Callithrix jacchus: one gene and its partners. The protein of the gene in region 1 interacts with the protein of each later gene in a pairwise test. Links are inferred from orthologs where the notes say so. Each region holds a gene or a part of one and is shown in the gene's direction. Other genes may lie near its edges. The genes, in order: HSP90AB1, CDC37L1, CHORDC1, EGFR and DDX24.

The links.
Region 2: the proteins of HSP90AB1 (region 1) and CDC37L1 interact in binary tests that used the Homo sapiens proteins (3 or more experiments, as listed by UniProt). The link is inferred for Callithrix jacchus from reciprocal best matches to the Homo sapiens genes HSP90AB1 and CDC37L1.
Region 3: the proteins of HSP90AB1 (region 1) and CHORDC1 interact in binary tests that used the Homo sapiens proteins (3 or more experiments, as listed by UniProt). The link is inferred for Callithrix jacchus from reciprocal best matches to the Homo sapiens genes HSP90AB1 and CHORDC1.
Region 4: the proteins of HSP90AB1 (region 1) and EGFR interact in binary tests that used the Homo sapiens proteins (3 or more experiments, as listed by UniProt). The link is inferred for Callithrix jacchus from reciprocal best matches to the Homo sapiens genes HSP90AB1 and EGFR.
Region 5: the proteins of HSP90AB1 (region 1) and DDX24 interact in a two-hybrid assay, tested with the Homo sapiens proteins (2 studies listed by BioGRID and IntAct, with this or other methods). The link is inferred for Callithrix jacchus from reciprocal best matches to the Homo sapiens genes HSP90AB1 and DDX24.

The regions. Positions count from the first base shown.
Region 1 is NC_133505.1:52,714,917-52,717,456, forward strand, and holds part of HSP90AB1 (heat shock protein HSP 90-beta), read left to right. Parts: intron 1-175; coding exon 176-382; intron 383-484; coding exon 485-644; intron 645-847; coding exon 848-981; intron 982-1,115; coding exon 1,116-1,424; intron 1,425-1,805; coding exon 1,806-1,971; intron 1,972-2,184; coding exon 2,185-2,375; intron 2,376-2,501; coding exon 2,502-2,540. UniProt on the Homo sapiens protein: Molecular chaperone that promotes the maturation, structural maintenance and proper regulation of specific target proteins involved for instance in cell cycle control and signal transduction. Undergoes a functional cycle linked to its ATPase activity.
Region 2 is NC_133502.1:111,210,397-111,213,528, forward strand, and holds part of CDC37L1 (hsp90 co-chaperone Cdc37-like 1), read left to right. Parts: intron 1-2,321; coding exon 2,322-2,423; 3' UTR 2,424-2,504; coding exon of another isoform or gene 2,505-2,606; 3' UTR 2,607-3,132. UniProt on the Homo sapiens protein: Co-chaperone that binds to numerous proteins and promotes their interaction with Hsp70 and Hsp90.
Region 3 is NC_133511.1:50,352,837-50,356,831, forward strand, and holds the start of CHORDC1 (cysteine and histidine-rich domain-containing protein 1), read left to right. Parts: upstream 1-1,186; 5' UTR 1,187-1,293; coding exon 1,294-1,357; intron 1,358-3,995. UniProt on the Homo sapiens protein: Regulates centrosome duplication, probably by inhibiting the kinase activity of ROCK2. Proposed to act as co-chaperone for HSP90. May play a role in the regulation of NOD1 via a HSP90 chaperone complex. In vitro, has intrinsic chaperone activity.
Region 4 is NC_133512.1:22,475,022-22,479,286, forward strand, and holds the start of EGFR (epidermal growth factor receptor), read left to right. Parts: upstream 1-1,447; 5' UTR 1,448-1,705; coding exon 1,706-1,793; intron 1,794-4,265. UniProt on the Homo sapiens protein: Receptor tyrosine kinase binding ligands of the EGF family and activating several signaling cascades to convert extracellular cues into appropriate cellular responses.
Region 5 is NC_133509.1:128,872,480-128,875,631, reverse strand, and holds the end of DDX24 (ATP-dependent RNA helicase DDX24), read left to right. Parts: intron 1-474; coding exon 475-604; intron 605-2,101; coding exon 2,102-2,370; 3' UTR 2,371-2,645; downstream 2,646-3,152. UniProt on the Homo sapiens protein: ATP-dependent RNA helicase that plays a role in various aspects of RNA metabolism including pre-mRNA splicing and is thereby involved in different biological processes such as cell cycle regulation or innate immunity.

The DNA.
Region 1 (2,540 bases):
TTAAGTGGCCATGGTAGCATGTGCCTGTAGTCCAGCTACGTGGGAGTGTGGCTTGAGCCTGGGAGGTCCAGGCTGCAGTGAGCTGTGATCCTTAACATTGCACCGTAGCTTGAGCGACAGAGCCAGAGCCTGTCTTAAAGGGAAAACAAAAGCAAATTCCTATTTGTATTTTCAGGCCTTGGACAAGATTCGCTATGAGAGCCTGACAGACCCTTCAAAGTTGGACAGTGGTAAAGAGCTGAAAATTGACATCATCCCCAACCCTCAGGAACGTACCTTGACTTTGGTAGACACGGGCATTGGCATGACCAAAGCAGATCTCATAAATAATTTGGGAACCATTGCCAAGTCTGGTACTAAAGCATTCATGGAGGCTCTTCAGGTATGTGCAGTTTTGCAGGCACACACCATTCATATTTGTCAGTGTGCTTTGGTTTGTTGCTTTTCGAAAACTTGTGTTTGACTTTAAATAACTTGTTGGCAGGCTGGTGCAGACATCTCCATGATTGGGCAATTTGGTGTTGGCTTTTATTCTGCCTACCTGGTGGCAGAGAAAGTGGTTGTGATCACAAAGCACAATGATGATGAACAGTATGCCTGGGAGTCTTCTGCTGGAGGTTCCTTCACTGTGCGTGCTGACCATGGTAAGCTCTCCCGTTACAAGTTAAGCTGGGTTGGAGTTTTCTGGGCTTGTGAAGTGGCAGAAATTTTTAGCATCCTGTTTGTAAAGCAGTTGAAATTATAGCAGCCTCGCTAATATACTTTTTTTTTTTTTTTTTTGGCTTGGTGAAGTCTTAACTGCTTTTATATTTTCACCCTGTTACATGCTTGTGACTGACTCTTGTAGGTGAGCCCATTGGCAGGGGTACCAAAGTGATCCTCCACCTTAAAGAAGATCAGACAGAGTACTTAGAAGAAAGGCGGGTCAAAGAAGTAGTGAAGAAGCACTCTCAGTTCATAGGCTATCCCATCACCCTCTATGTGAGTGTGGACTTTTAAACCTTTTTCACTTAACGTGCAGGGTGTTTCCTGTTCTGGAGTCATCATGGGCCCTGGCTTTTGCTTTCCCTGTTAGTGGTTAGTACTCAAGGCTAACTTTTGTTTTTGTTGTTTAGTTGGAGAAGGAACGAGAGAAGGAAATTAGTGATGATGAGGCAGAGGAAGAGAAAGGTGAGAAAGAAGAGGAAGATAAAGATGATGAAGAAAAGCCCAAGATTGAAGATGTGGGTTCAGACGAGGAGGATGATAGTGGTAAGGATAAGAAGAAGAAAACTAAGAAGATCAAAGAGAAATACATTGATCAGGAAGAACTAAACAAGACTAAGCCTATTTGGACTAGAAACCCTGATGACATCACTCAAGAGGAGTATGGAGAATTCTACAAAAGCCTCACCAATGACTGGGAAGACCACTTGGCAGTCAAGGTGAGAAGCCCTTGCACATTGGCTCAACATACAAATATGGAGAGGAGTGAGTAGGTGGCGTTTTGGCAGGTAATAGACACATGGAACTTGTCCTCCTGATCACAGAAATGTTGAGAACCATGTGATTTCATTGATTACCCTGTCACAGTGAGGAGCTATCCTTCCTAATGACCTCACTTTGTCTTCTGATGGTAATCTTGGTAATGTCTGCCCCTGATCATTGAGAGCATTAAGGCTCGGTTTTCTAGAGAGCTGCCTGTTGTGTGTGCTTTGTCCTTTAGGCTTAGGGAGGATCATTGTTCCACTTTTAGGTAATTTGTTGGGGCTAAAAGGCACTCTTTGGAAATGTACTACTACTTGTTTATGTTTGGATTCTTTCAGCACTTTTCTGTAGAAGGTCAGTTGGAATTCAGGGCATTGCTATTCATTCCTCGTCGGGCTCCCTTTGACCTTTTTGAGAACAAGAAGAAGAAGAACAACATCAAACTCTATGTCCGTCGTGTATTCATCATGGACAGCTGTGATGAGTTGATACCAGAGTATCTCAGTGAGTATGTCCTTGGCATAATTTAGTTGGGTGAAGTCTTGGGGCAAGGTTTTCAACATTCTGCAACTAAAAAGTCTTATTCCTAGGTGTAATAGTTCTCTGCAATACATAGTGTGTGAGGGTTCAGGGGGCAATAGCGCCTTCTCTTTGAATCTGGGTACCAGGTCTGGTCTAGCTGTTTTTACTGAGTTTTCTCATCCTGGTTGATGGCAGACTTTATCCGTGGTGTGGTTGACTCTGAGGATTTGCCTCTGAACATCTCCCGAGAAATGCTCCAACAGAGCAAAATCTTGAAAGTCATTCGCAAAAACATTGTTAAGAAATGCCTTGAGCTCTTCTCTGAGCTGGCAGAAGACAAGGAGAATTATAAGAAATTCTATGAGGCATTCTCTAAAAATCTCAAGGTAAGGAGGCACATGGTTATTCCCTTTACCACTTTCTTAGTAATTACGATAAATTCTACCATTCTTATAGAAGGCAAGGTTATTTTAGTTAAGTTGGATTGTTTTTTTCTCTTCCCACTCTTCAAGCTTGGAATTCACGAGGATTCCACTAACCGTCGCCGCCTG
Region 2 (3,132 bases), on another chromosome or scaffold:
AATAATAAATGTCTGATTTTTAAATAATTAGTAATGTTCCCCCTTAGTTAGACATGTAAGAAATATTCCCCCTACAGATTTCCTACAGATTATCTCTTAATTTTATGTCAGTGATTATTTTTCCCTTCAGTTCCTGAGAAGTAGCCCACTGGGAAGTAGTTTTTCCAGGGGAATTCTGTGACCAAGTCACTGTGAAATCCAATATATAAACCTCCTGCAATTAAAATGTCACATAATGCATGGGAAAGAAAAAAGAGACTTTGGAAGGGTGTAATTGATTTTAAACATAAGAAGAAAAGGTACACATTATAGTATCTTAGGCCTATATTATTTAGAAATTGCCTCTGGTTTGAGAGAAGTAAGTCCTTGTTACACATATTAGATAGCAACTGATATCAGATACTAAGCATCCCTTAGAGTCATAGGCGGACTAGGATTATACAATTCTGACACTTTTGGATTGCTGATATTATCAGGGTTATTCAGATTTAATTAAGCTGGGCTAATCTCCTCATGGTGGGAGACCAATTTCTCTTGGTGAGTAATTTGAGCATCCTGGTATAGTCCTTCTGAAAGATACAAGAGCTGGACAAAATTTCAGTCAGATACTACATGTGCAGAAAGGATCATTGGCTAGTTGAAGGAAATCAAAAGAGGCTACTTGAGGGACCAAATCATCAGTTTAGAGGTTTGGAAGAAAAATCTTACCGTAATAATAGCATCCCATTTTTATATCCGTTTATAGGTTACAAAGCACTTTCACACATATTATTTAATCTTCTCAGTTTTCCTATGATTCATTTTCATTTCATTTTTATAGATAAGTAAACTGAAAGTCATGGAACTTAAGTAATTTGCCTGAAGTCAGCGCAATAAGTGATTAATGTTCTACTTTTGGATTTCTATTCTGCTTCACTATTTGTTTACCTATACCACAGACTGTTGAATCATATGTGTTGAGAATGTTACTAGATGAAAATATGGGACAGTTAATGAAATTTAAGTATAGGTTAGGTTGGGTATATCAATTCCTTATTTTTGAAAGTCTCTTTATGATAGTATCTTATAGTCCTTAGGAAGATGGGTGGATGAGTTTTGGAGAATCTCCTCAGCCAATTCTCTTATTCAAAACTGTGTCATGGAAAACTGGAGCCCAGTCTTAACAGAGTAATTAATTATAAGTTCTGTTCCAATGAACTTACAGAGAATTAGGCTTGGATTGTCAGAAAAAGGTCTTAAGGCTGTTTTTTTGGAGAATGGGACAAGATAAGAATATTGATCATTTTGGATAAAGCTTAAGTGTGGATAACTATTTAGTTTTTCTTTTTTTATATATAATTAACAGTAATCTTGTGAAATTAGCCAAATACCATTCATTATTCTTACTTTTAAGAGGTCTAATCCAAGTCTTGGATGTAGATATAACAACAATTACTTTAGGTGTATCCTATAGGCTAGATTTTAATTTTACCAAATTGTGAATTTTTTTCTCCTTGAGTATTGCTATACTAAATAGAGGCAGGATTAAAACTGGGGCCCAGTGTGAGTGTCCCAGACCTCAGTCAGTTGTCTCTGCTACTTCCTTTATAAAGACCTGATTGGGAGTCATCCAAACTCCAACTAGCTTTCTGACTTTTACAATGAAGGAATCTCATGAAGTGTTGTACTTTCTTAGGAGGATCTTTAGAAAACTCTGCCTCCCAACCTCCTATTAGATGGTGAGGTTTAAGGCATCTCTCCTGTTTGGACTATTTTCCTCATTGGTGTTTATTAAATAAAATAAATATAAATAAAATTAGTAATAAAAGTGGTATAAGTCTTAAGTAACTAGCAGATACTCAAACAGTTGAGTAGACAAAATTGAATTCTTGGGAAAGAATTTTCCAAAGTTCTGGGTCTTAAGGGCTATACCTTTATTCATAGTATAATACAACCTGATATTTTATTCTCAGTTTAAAAAATAAGGGTCTAAATACCTCTCAAAAGAGTACAGATTTCTCACTGAGTTGTTTTAACTTTTGGGAAAACAAAATAGACCCTGAAGATACCCATAATTTTTACCCAGTAAATGGATTTTTTTTATTCAGATTATTTGCATAATTTAGTGTTTACTGTTGTAGTTAGATGGTAATCTTAAAAATGCATTGCTGGCTTCAAACCGTATTTAAATTATCAGTAGCTATGTATATATAATCACATGGAAGTTGTAGCCTTGCCTTGTGTGATTAAATAATATATGGTTTTGTTAAATGGAGAAGAAAGGTGGTATTTGTTAACAATTCTGTTTTTCACATGTATCATTCTTTTATCACATCTCTTAGGTGATAGCATCCTGTTTTTGTCTTTATTTTCTTGGGTTTCAGCCCAAGTCTGACTTCATCTTCCCTACTACTCTACTACACTGCAGAGACATAGGACCGTGAAGTTGAATATGTATGTATGTACTATCATAAAACTGGTTATAATGCATTTTCTCCCCTGATCCGCCTTTTCTTTTTCCCCAGAATCCAGATTACCTTCAGTATTCTATCAGTACAGCTCTCTGCAGCTTAAACTCAGTGGTACATAAAGAAGATGATGAACCCAAAATGATGGACACTGTATAATTTGGTTAAAACTGCTGAGGCCAAGTGCTATTTTGTTACAAGAAAGGAAGAACTTGGCTATTTTCTTGACACTTTTATGGGTGCTGCACTTTATTTTTGTTCCTTTTTTGATGGGAGGGAAAGAGTACTGAAACGTTTTGTAAATTTTTTTTAATGTGCTGCTAGGTTTTTTGTTTTGTTTTGTTCTGAAGAGAGGAGTGGTACAGTATGTTGCAGGAAGTCAAACTGGACTTTTTATGGCTACTAAATTTGCCTTTAATCTTATTGTTCTCAATTTTGGAATCAAAGTATGAAAATCTGCACAAATGCAATGTTTACAAGAACTGGTTGATTCTGGGAGGCATCTGCTACAGTCTCTTTTTATATGGATATGTACATGTCCTATTATACAAAAATGATTAAAGATAAAAATGTACCTGTATCCCACTACTAATTTAGCTGTCAAATCTGGTGTTTCATCACATTAAAAGCAATAAATCAGTAGTTGGTAATCGGCTTTACTAAAGTTGGGAGGGTACAATTATTA
Region 3 (3,995 bases), on another chromosome or scaffold:
TTGAAATAAGGAAAATAATATACAAGTTGATTACTGTAACTTACATATAATAAAGTTGGGAAAATTCGAGAAAGGTTACATTACAGTGGATTCATTCAAGAGAATACTCCATCATTTGTAATAATGATTACAAAACAAAACAGAAAAATATTCATGTTAAGTTAAATGAAGAAGAAAACATGTATCTATGTTGGGATTACAATATAATAATTTAATACTTCTAGGTAGAAGAGAACGTAATATGAAAACTAAAAAGTCTTTTTTTCAGGGGTAGGAGGATGTGAGCCAGATCCCTAAATAACCTTGAGACCAATGGAAACTGTGTATAGATTTTTAGGTTTCTTACAAGCTGCTTATCTTATTTTAAGATCCTTCAGTGTATGTTATCAAAAAGTGTTTGCTTTTCTTTCAAACGTCCCACATTTGGGAAATATGCAAGTTGGAGCCAATGCATTACTGTAATTTTTATAATGCACTTGAAGTTTTACTAGCTGTTCCAATAGTGGAGTACTGAGTATTGAGAAATCGTTTAAGTGGGAGCTCATATGAAATATTAACAATTACCCCAGGGCCTTAGAGCAATTGTGATCATTTCTGGCACAGTATCAGATCCATAATTTTGTTCTTCAGATTTTTACGTGTTTTGTATTTTCAAAGTAACGTGAACGAAACTGTTCAGTTATTAAAATTGCTCCCGAGAGGAGGGCACCGGAGACACAGACACGCGGAGAGGTTCGTCCACTATTCCTCTCCTCATTTACTAAGCTCCCACCTCTATCCTGAGGATTTGGAAACACTGTACGATTGCACACTTATTGTGCACAACTAAGGGGTCAGAAGATACCCACCGGGCAGTCTAAGGCGCAGCCTCAAGGCAAGGAAGAAGGATGCCGGGCCGCAGGGGATGAGAGGACATGCCCATTGCCAGTGAGGACTGGGGAAGTCAGGAGACAGCTGTCAGTCTCTTGGACACCTTCAGTTTCTGCCCAGTACATTTCTCTTCCGCTATTGTCTGGGCTCCACCTCCGACCCGCAGTTGCTACCAGCTGCAGCAGTCCGACCTATTGTAGCCCGGGCTAGTGCCGACCTCCTGCTGCTTCCTCCGCCGCTTTCCTTCTCCGCTGCGCCTGCGCGACCGGAAAATTCGCGAAGGTTCCTGAAACGCCGCTGATCGTTTCCGGAAGCCGGCAGTCGCCTTGGTCGTCAGACTAGGGCTAGCTACACGGGAGTGGCCACGGCATCCTCTTGCCATTCCCGGCGTTTGGGCCTTGCTTGTGACAGTGGGAAGAGAAAATGTCCTTGCTGTGCTACAACCGGGGCTGCGGTCAGCGCTTTGATCCTGAAACCAATTCCGATGGTAAGAGGAACGCGCCGCCAGCCCTCCCTCCCCTCTCCACCTCATCGGCGGGGGAGGCCCATTGGGCCGCAGGGTGTCCGCGGACGTCCTGCAGCCGTTCTCGCGCGGCGCCAGGTCTAGGTCCCTCCTGGGCGCACAGCCCGCCGGCACCCCGCCTGGTGTGCCGCATTCCCTTGGCTATGGCCCGGCCCCGGCGCCCGACTGCCCTCTGCCTCTGCGGAGAGGGACGCTCCCCTGGATCCATGTGTTTCCCCGGTCGTCCCCGCGCTGGGTTTAAGTCGCCTGGAATTTAGAACAAACACCTTTCTCCTCGGGCCCCCTAGTCTCTGGGGAAGCAAAAGTTAACGAGGTACTGGTGAGCTTGCTTTGCAGTTCCGCAAGTAGTGTTAGCTGTGATTGCCTGCGCCAGAGGGAGCGAGGGTCGGGACTTGTCCTAGCGAGTAAGCCCTGCCTCATAGAAGTTTGTGTTCAGTCGATCCGCTGTTACAAACCTCTTGCGAGTGTTCTAGGTGAGGGACATTAATCTGTATCTTTACACTGTTTTGGTAGGTGCATCCTGGTGGTACGTTAGTTATCTTTTTCTTACTGGCATCCTTTGTTGGGTATTGTTGTTGTGGTCTCCACGTTTTAATACCATTGCTGACTCCAGTATAAAATGATCGAATGTCCGCTACAGCATCAAGATGTCGAGTTAAGGATCCAAAGCGAAAGTGACTACTAGGTGAAGGACGGGAAATGATCAGTGAATTGAGATTTTGATTGATGAAGAAGTGAGACGATTCCTTGCGTATTGTGAGAAGTGACAGCACGTTTTCAGATCGAACTAGCATTTAGTTTATGTCTTCTGCATGCTAGACATTATCGCTTTATCATCTTAATCTTCATAACAACCGTGGGAAGCGTGCGGTATTAATTAGATCCATTGATTGAGAAGCTCCGTTCAGTGAGGTAGTATTAATAACATCCTTCATCACTGTGGGGGAGATGAAAACTCATGCCTTTTAAACTCTTCACCTCTGAGATGTTTGAAATACTTAGGTTTGGCACACAGGTTTATTGATTGCATTATTAAAACAGGGTTTTAAAGAAAAGGTAAATCCAATCTATGCAATACTCATGTTACGGACACTGACATTTTTATGATGCAGATATGATGCTACTCAAGAGGAAAATTGTGAGATTTCAGTGGATGACAAACTTGAGAAATGATTTGAAAGCACTTTGATTTTGGTAGCCTACATAAAAAATAATTGCATTTATGTCTGCAGATACTCTACTTTAATATCGAATATAGGGGAAAGGCTGATGTTTTGCTGTATGGGACAATAAAGTTCAGGGGAGATAGCCATTTGTTGGAAGTCTGTATCCATGTGTGATTTGGTGCAGTGCATAGGAGAAAATGACCAGTAAAAACAAAGAATAAACAGTCTCAATAATTGGGTGGTCAGCAGTACCCGATACAGCAGAGAAATTCGAGTAAGATCGCTGAAACTTCAGTAAGATCGCTGAAAGTATATTTACTTAAGCGAAATGAGGTTTTTTTGTTTTTTTTTTTTAAGAGGCTTAGAATGCGTTTTTCAAGTAAGTTGGTTAAGTGGATGGAAGGAGAAGAAAATGGAGATACGGAGTAGGAGACAAGAACTAAATAGTAAGGTTGGTCGGTTTTATAGGAAGAGGTTTGACGTTGTACAGTTGACAGAAATAAGTTAAAGAAGTAAATACACAAGCAAGTTCCATTTTGCATGAAGCCATATGATGGATCTGCCATCCTTAAATATCTTTTGAAATCTACACTAAATGCTTTTTTTCTTGGTGCTGCGGCATAATTACCATGCTTGTTGACTTAGAGTCTCATGATTTTTTCCCCTTATAGACAGAAATTAGACTCCCTTTTAAGCTGATAGAACGTTTTAATTTGTAACACAAGTTAAAGGGTGTTTGAGGGAGACATAGTTGGCAACTTGCATATGTAAACACTTATTCTAGAATAAACAGAGCTTCACAAACAGTGTTTTATTTAATCCACGTATACGAGGAAAACTGAAGGAACTAGTGGCAAGCAGCAGTGAGAAATTTAGCCAGGGTCAGACCCAATGTTAGAAGCCCTGGATAGTTAATAACTACTACTGTGTTGCAGCTTCTTACCCATAAAATATTAATTTTACCAAAACTCTTAAAACTGATAAAGGATAAAGAATGTCCAGCTGCTTATTACTTCTTGTTTTTGAAAGCACTGGTTTTCTAATTGTGTTCATACTAATTGTATGGTTTGGATCTGACTCATTCCTGCTCCCATTCTGCCAAAATTGACTAGTATTGTGACATTTTATGCCTCTGATTGTGTTAAACATTGTACATTTTATGTCTCTGACTACCTTAAATTTGGTATTTAAAAATACTGTATCCTCTATTTCCATTCCCCTCTCAACTTCATGGCCTTCTGCATACCCATTTCTACTTCCGATCTCCTTTTTCAGCCCTTAATTCCACAACTACCCTGTATTAATAACATCTTTCTGATCCATGGGTTTACTTACTGTATCAGGAAGTTACCTAACACTTTGTTTCTACATTGGCTAGTATCTAGGCAGCACATGGTTACTAAGGAAGCAATACTGGCTAGTAATACAGGGTAGGG
Region 4 (4,265 bases), on another chromosome or scaffold:
TTGTTTTTTCTTTGTTTCTTTATGGACTGCTCTCAGCCCAGGTGTGCATATGTGGAGGAAGCACACACGTGCCTGCAGAGCCGTCACAGCCTCTGCATCCAGGGGCTGACTTCAACCTGCAGTGGCTGTCCTGATTGGTTAAAACAAAGGAACAAATTACTTCTCCTGATTCACAGGGGAAGTTCCAGGTTGCAGCAGCGGTGAGGAGCTGGCAGTGAGGAGTCGGCGGTGAGGAGTTTGCGCTTGCCCTGCTGAAAACCCCACCGTTTAGGCTGCAGGGTGTGAAACTCTGGCACAGACAATTTGCTGGATGGGAAGGAAAGAAGCAAGGTTGCTCCCCTCCAGGGACAGCAAAGGGCAGCAAAGGGCTCCACTTACTTCAGGAGTGTGGTTCTTGACAGAGCCGGGAGATCAAGGTTGTTGAATCAGGCCGGAAAGTCCTAGTGAACCTTGTGGAGAGGAGGGGTCTGTAACATGGACCTAGAGGGCATTTTTCCTGTAGGAGAAGGAACAGTGGGGATAGGGTGCACTTGCAGAAGGAATGTAGCTCAAGTTCCTGCAGCCCAAAGCAGCTCAGTTTCTTCCGGCCAAAGCCTCTGCGAATTTCCCTGGCATTTCTCCTGTGGGAGCTACCAGGGCAGTGGGACACTTAGCCTCTCTAAAAGTATCTCCACGGCTGTTTGTGTCAAGCGTTTATTCCAAGAGCTTCCCTTTTGCGAAGTACTGTGCCTCACACATTGGCTCAAATTACCCAGGGTCGGTTACAATAAACATTGAGGAGGCCTGTATCTGAGCTCGGAGTTGGGTACCCTCATTTCATTCAATTTCGAGGGTGCTTGACGGGATCTGAAGGACCCTCGGACTTTGGATCAGCACCTCGGACGCCTGGCACTCCTGCTGCACAGGCACGGCAACCGCCTCAGCTGCCAGGCCAGCCTCTGAGCCCTGGGAGGGTCCCAGGGTGCTGCAGGGGAGGTGGGGACCAGAATAAAAGAGCAGTTTCCCCGTCGGTGCCATTATCCGACGCTGGCTCTAGGGCTTGGCCAATCTGTCCAAAGCTGGTACAAGTTTGCTTTGTAAAACAAAAGAAGGGAAAGGGGGAAGGGGACCCTGGCACAGATTTGGCTCCATCTCAGCATAAGCTGGGCCTGCAAGTCCATGGAGACTGAGTCCAGAGGAGCAGTGCTGGGAACGCCCCTCTCGGAAATTAACTCCTCAGGGCACCCGCTCCCCTCCCACGCGCCGCCCCTTTCCTGCCGGAGCCCGGGTCCCGCGGGGGTCACCGCTGTCCACCGCCTCCGGCGGCCGCTGGCTTTGGGTCCCTGCTGCTGGTTCTCGTCCCTCCTCCTCGCATTCTCCTCCTCCTCCGCTCCTCCCGATCCCTCCTCCGCCGCCTGGTCCCTCCTCCTCCCGCCCAGCCTTCCCCACGTCCCGGCCCGCGCGAGCTAGACGTCCGGGCAGCCCCCGCGCCGCGCGGCCGCAGCAGCCTCCGCCCCCCGCACGGTGTGAGAGCCCTCCGCGACCAAGGCGGCTGGAGTCCCGAGCGAGTCCCGGGGGCCGCCGCCGCCCAGCCGGGACGACAACCCACCTCGGCGGCGTCCGCCCGAGTCCCCGCCTCGCCGCCGCCACAGCCACCGCGCACGGCCGCCTGACTCCGTCCAGGACTGATCCAGGAGCGTCGGAGCGAGCTCTTCGGGGAGCAGCGATGCGACCCTCAGGGACGGCAGGGGCCGCGCTCCTGGCTCTGCTGGCTGCGCTCTGCCCAGCGAGTCTGGCTCTGGAGGAAAAGAAAGGTAAGGGCGTGTCTCGCCGGCTCCCGAGCCGCCCCCGGAGCGCGCCCCGGACCCCGCAGCTAGCCCAGCCGCGCACCGGCGCACCGGCTCGGTGCCCGCGCCCCCGCCCGTCCGTTCCTGTTTCCTTGAGATCAGCTGCGCTGCCGGCCGGGACCGCGGGAGGAACGGGACGTTTCGTCCCTGGCCGGGAGAGTCCGCGGCGGGCGGAGGAGGAGACGGGGAGGGCACCGGGCTGCGGGCGGGGCGGAGAACGGCAGCTGGCACCTCCTGCGGTCCCGACCGCTCCCAACTTTTCTCCCTTACTTTCCCGCCTCTCTGCGCGGGATCGGCGTCCGCGGCCCGGTGGGCGCCGGGAGCCGGGGTCCCGCATGGCGCCCCGCGTTGTCCTCCCAGGGCACGGCGGGGTCGGAACGCGCACCCGAGGGGCCAGCGCTGCCCACCCGCAGGGCCGCGCGGTTTAGGGAAGCTGAGGAAGGACCCCGAGAATGCAGCCTCCCCTCGGACCCCGCGGGACAGGCGGCTTCCTGAGCTGACCTCCCGCCTCCGCCCTCCGCGCGAGTCTCACGCTGAAGCCGGCGTGGGTCAGCCTGGCCCCGGCGCCTCTCCGGGTCCCCGCGAGCCTCGTTCCCGGGTGTGGAGTAGCAGCCTTCACCTGGGAGCTGGGAGAACTCGTCTGCCACCACCTGCGGCTCCCGGGAAGGGGTGGTGCTGGCGGCGGTTAGTTTCCTCCTTGGCAAAAGGCAGGTGGGGTCCGACCCGCCCCTTGGGCGCAGACCCCGGCCGGCGGCTCGCCCCGCCCGGCGCGCTCTAGTTCGGCCGGTCCAGGTGTGTCCCGCTGAGGACCCGACCTCCCTCCGGGGCGCCCCCCCCCGAAAGCCCCGGGCTCTGGTTCGGTGGCCATGTCGCGGGTTTTCCACGCCTGCAACCCTTCGGTCGAGCCTGGGCTTCGCGGTGGAACGGGACGCGGCTGTCCGGCCACTCCAGAGGGGGACCGCGGGACTCTTGCGCGGAAGCTCAAGGAGCAGAGCCGGTCCTGGCCACACCACGGTGTTTCAAAACGGGGCTCACAGCAAACTTTCCTTCTCAAAACCCGGGGAGTTTCTTTCTTGGATGTTTCTCTTTGCCGTTTGAAGAATTTGACATTGGGCCAACCAAAATATTAAACCTGTCATACACACACACACACACACACACACCAGATTGATGTCCCTGGTTCACGTGTGCCAAGTCTCCAGACAGAACATGAGCGAGTCTGGCTTCGTGACTACCCTCATAAACCCATCTGACATGGGAAACATGCCTCAGGTTTAATTGCACAATTCCAGCCTTGAGCTGCGCGGGTTCCAGGAGCCAGGCCCGTACTTGCTGTTGATGTCACTGGCATGAGGCGTTGGGGTTTGGTGCCCAGCGCCGTTGTTGGGGGAGGGACAAGGCATAGAACAGTGGTTCCCAGACCTTGCTGCAGTTTAGAATTACCTGGGATTTTTTAAAACCAAAACAGAAACCAGTGTCTGGCTCCCACCCCCAGACATTCTGATTTAATTGACATGGGGCAAGACCTGGATATGGTATTTTTAAAAATGCTTTTCATGTGATCTGTTGGGCAGCCAGGTTTGGGGATCACTGCACGGAAGAAGGATTGTTAAAGTCTCCGGAGAGATTACTTGCCAATGCAAAGAGCTCTTTGAGGACATCTGGAGTTTTAACAATCTTGCCAAATATAGGAAAGAGGGGAAAGGTAGGGTGTGATTCCAATAATAAAGGATTTCTCTTCTCACTGAAGGAACTCTTGGAAAGATTCCTCCTCTGCTGAGCCTACGCGACCCTGTGAGTCAGGTGCCAGCCCTGTCTCTGCGGAAGAGCAGAGACTCTTCTCTTTATTTTAAATTAAACATGCAGAGCACCTCCAAAGCATCACTTTCCTCCCTCCAGCGGTGTTCTTGTTCTTTGATGTTACTAGCTTGAACACCTGTATTAGTGGCTGGAGATTTGTTCCTAAGAAAAATATAAATACCACTTAATTTGCCTGTTGGTCCCATATTCACCCAAAACAGAATGCTCCTGAAGACGACAGAGAGTAGGTGAACAGACGCTATTCCATTACGGTGACATAAAAGACTGAATGTTCAGGGGCAATTATTAAAATAGGAGATGAGCTCTTTCAGCAGAAGTTTGTTGAAGGCCTGTGTCTATCAAGTTCAGTCGGTTTTGTTCAAGGTGCACTTTGGTTCCGGGACATGCTAACTTCTGGGCTTGCTGCTCTTAGAGCAAAAGACTGCCACACACTGTTTCATGCATCCTTTCAGTCCTCACATTAAGCATAAGAGGCATGCGCTCCCCTCCTATGGGGGAAACTGAGGTACAAAGGATTAAAGTGACTTTCTCGAGGCTGCTAGGCAGCAGCGTGAAATTCACATGCAGGCCTTCCGACTCCAGATGCCTCTCTCAACTTCCAAACGCCACTGCCTCGTC
Region 5 (3,152 bases), on another chromosome or scaffold:
GCTTTATCAGGAAACAAAGCAAATGAAGTTCAGTAGGAACTGAACTGCTTCTCACTGATCACTGATCTCAAGAGCTTTTTAAAAACACTGCTTGCTGGGCATGGTGGCTCATGCCTGTAATCCTAGCACTTTGGAAGGCTGAGGGGGAAAAAGCCCTTGAGCCCAGGAGTTCAAGACCAGCCTAGACAACACAGTGAGACCCTGTCTTTACCAAAAAAAAAAAATTAGCTGGGCATGGTGGTGCTAGCCTGTGGTCCCAGCTGCTTGGGAGGCTGAGGTGGGAGGATCACATGAGTTAAGGAGGTTGAGGCTGCAATGAGCCATGATCCATGCCACTGTTCTCCAGCCTGGGCAGCAGAGTGAGATCCTCCCTCAAGCAAACACACAAACAAAGACACACAACTCAAGTGAGACTTTGCTTCCCAGAGGCCTGAACTCTCTTTCAGATGAATATTTTCTGTTACTTTAACCCAGGAGCGAATCCGTTTAGCTCGACTGATTGAGAAATCTGAGTATCGGAACTTCCAGGCTTGTCTGCACAATTCTTGGATTGAGCAGGCAGCGGCTGCCTTGGAGATTGAGCTGGAAGAAGACATGTATAAGGGTAAGCCCTTGGGCCGGATGGGAATTGAGGAAGGTGAAATTTCTCTTTAACTTGTGCTTCGTTGGAACCTTCGCTACTACTGTGGGTCTTGCCAAAATCAGCAAGACGTCCTTCCCCTTCTTTGCTAACAGGCCCCCGTTCCAGATGGGTTTCCTCTGTCTCTGTCTTGCATCCTTAGCTGCCGCCTCTTACGTGGACAGGCAGTGGATACAGTGAGGACGGGAGCAGGCTCTCTGGCCAATGTGCCTGTGTTAGAATGCCTGCTGATTCCTTTTACTGTGTGACTGAAGTTATTTAACCTCTGTTGTGTCTCAGCTTTCTTTTTTCGATAAAATGGAAGTAATCAGCCATCTATTTCATGGGATTGTTGGGAAGATTGATCGAGTTAAAAAATATTGGGTGCTTGCAGCATTGCCTGGCAAATAGAAAGTATTTTATACATTTTAAGCTATTTGTCATTATGGTTCCTACTACACCTGCCTTCCAAGCTGACAAAGCACTTTCATGCCATTATCTCATTTGATCATCTCCACTTTCATGACATGAACATAACAGGAAGTACTATTCTTTTACACATGGGAACTAGATACTTACAGCAGAGGCAATTTGTGCAGGGAAGTAGCTCTGTCACCAGACATTTCCTGAGCTGCTACTCTGTGTGTGGCCAGAGGCTGAGGCTTCAGGGATGAATCTGCTCGGTCCCACCTTGAGAAAGCTCCTGAGTCTAAGAAGTTGTAGAACCAGGTCTAGAATTCCGTGCTTCTTCCACACCACCAAATGTACAGCTCACCTGAGATATTGATACCTCAGTGCTCAAGTCAGCAGATTCAGAGCCAAACTTACTGCTGTCTGCTCAGCATGGAAGTCAGGAGCCAAACCAGTGGGCTTATAGACAGTGAGCTAGTCCTGGTAGTTCAGCTTTGGGGCTTGGGCTGAAGATGTGGAGGCCCTGGCTTCCCTTCCTGAGGACAGGCTGAGATGGAGCCCTTTGGCTTTGCCCACCTCTGTATGTGCAGTCACAGCACTGGTGGCAAGGTAGAGGAGAGCTGGGCTACAAAGAAGCATTCATTGTCTCCTAAGGGGGTTGTAGTTGTGAAGTCTCCAAACCCCAGGTGGGCAGTAAGTGGGTAGGTAATAGGAAGAAAGGTGATCTTCTGTCAGAAGACTTGGGTTCTGGGCTCTGTCTGATGGCTGGCTCTGAGGTGTAAGCCAGGTGACTTCTCTAAGCCAATTTGCTTCATCTGTAAAGATAATTCCAGTCTTCGAGTGTTTTTACAAAGGAGAAAAGTATAGAACGGTCCTGCGTATCCCCCCCAAATGGTTAGATGTTATCCATTTACAGCCCCTGCCAAGCCTCCACTGGCTTCTTTAGAGAACTTTGCAACTCCACCTCCCTAAAGTAGTTCTAAAACAGTTTTTATTCTGTTATCCATCAAGGGAAACAAAATGTTTTTACAAACCATAGTAAATAGGATCATTTTTGTATTGCGTTTCTAGGTGGAAAAGCTGACCAGCAAGAAGAGCGTCGGAGACAAAAGCAAATGAAGGTTCTGAAGAAGGAGCTGCGCCACCTGCTCTCCCAGCCGCTGTTTACAGAGAGCCAGAAAACCAAGTATCCCACTCAGTCTGGCAAGCCGCCCCTGCTTGTGTCTGCCCCAAGGAATAGCGAGTCTGCTTTGAGCTGCCTCTCCAAGCAGCAGAAGAAGAAAAAGAAGCCAAAGGAGCCGCAGCCAGAACAGCCACAACCAAGTACAAGTGCAAATTAATTGTGCTGGTCAAGTGTGTCGGTGACTGCACATTGGTCTCTGTTCTCTGGCTATTTGCAAAACCTCTCCTACTCTTGTGTTTCACTCCACCATCAACCCCAGGTAAAAAAAGTCTCCCTCTCTTCCACTCACACCCATAGCGGGAGAGACCTTTTGCAGATTTACCTTGTTTTGGAGTAAGAATTCTATGCAGCAGCTTAACTTTTCTGTATTGCCGTGTTTATAGGCTTCTTGTGTGTTCAACTTGATTTCGTAAATTAAAAACAATGGTCAGAGCCAGTGTGTCATCCTAATTTTTTTTTTTTTTTTTTTTTTTTTTTAGCTAGAAGATGGGGGTGGTGGTATAGTTTATTTCATTATTAACTTAGTGATTCTTCTGGGCCAGCACAGTGCTAAGACCTTGAAGGAACAGGAATAGTGTCAGGCCTCTGGCTGCAGGCCAAGGTTGGACAGTGTGAATGGAGCAAGAGGCTGGAGTTGAGGCCTCTGTAGTACATCCTGCCAGGTCCTTGGTGTATGTTCCTGCTTTAACCCGAGCAACACCTAATGGCTGCTTATCTTTTTCCCACTCTGTCCTGGCTATTATCTGAGCCTCCCTGGGAGGTGGGCAGGAATGAGGTTGCTGTCTTCAGGCTTCCCTCACATCACAGAACTAACAGTAATAGTCACTGGTTCTGGCGTGTGAGGCCCTCAGGATCTGGCCCCAGCCTTGTCTCCACTCCTCTCCTCTGTGACAGAGCAGTCTCCTGCCCACTGATCCGTGTTTCCCTTCTCTTGTCCTG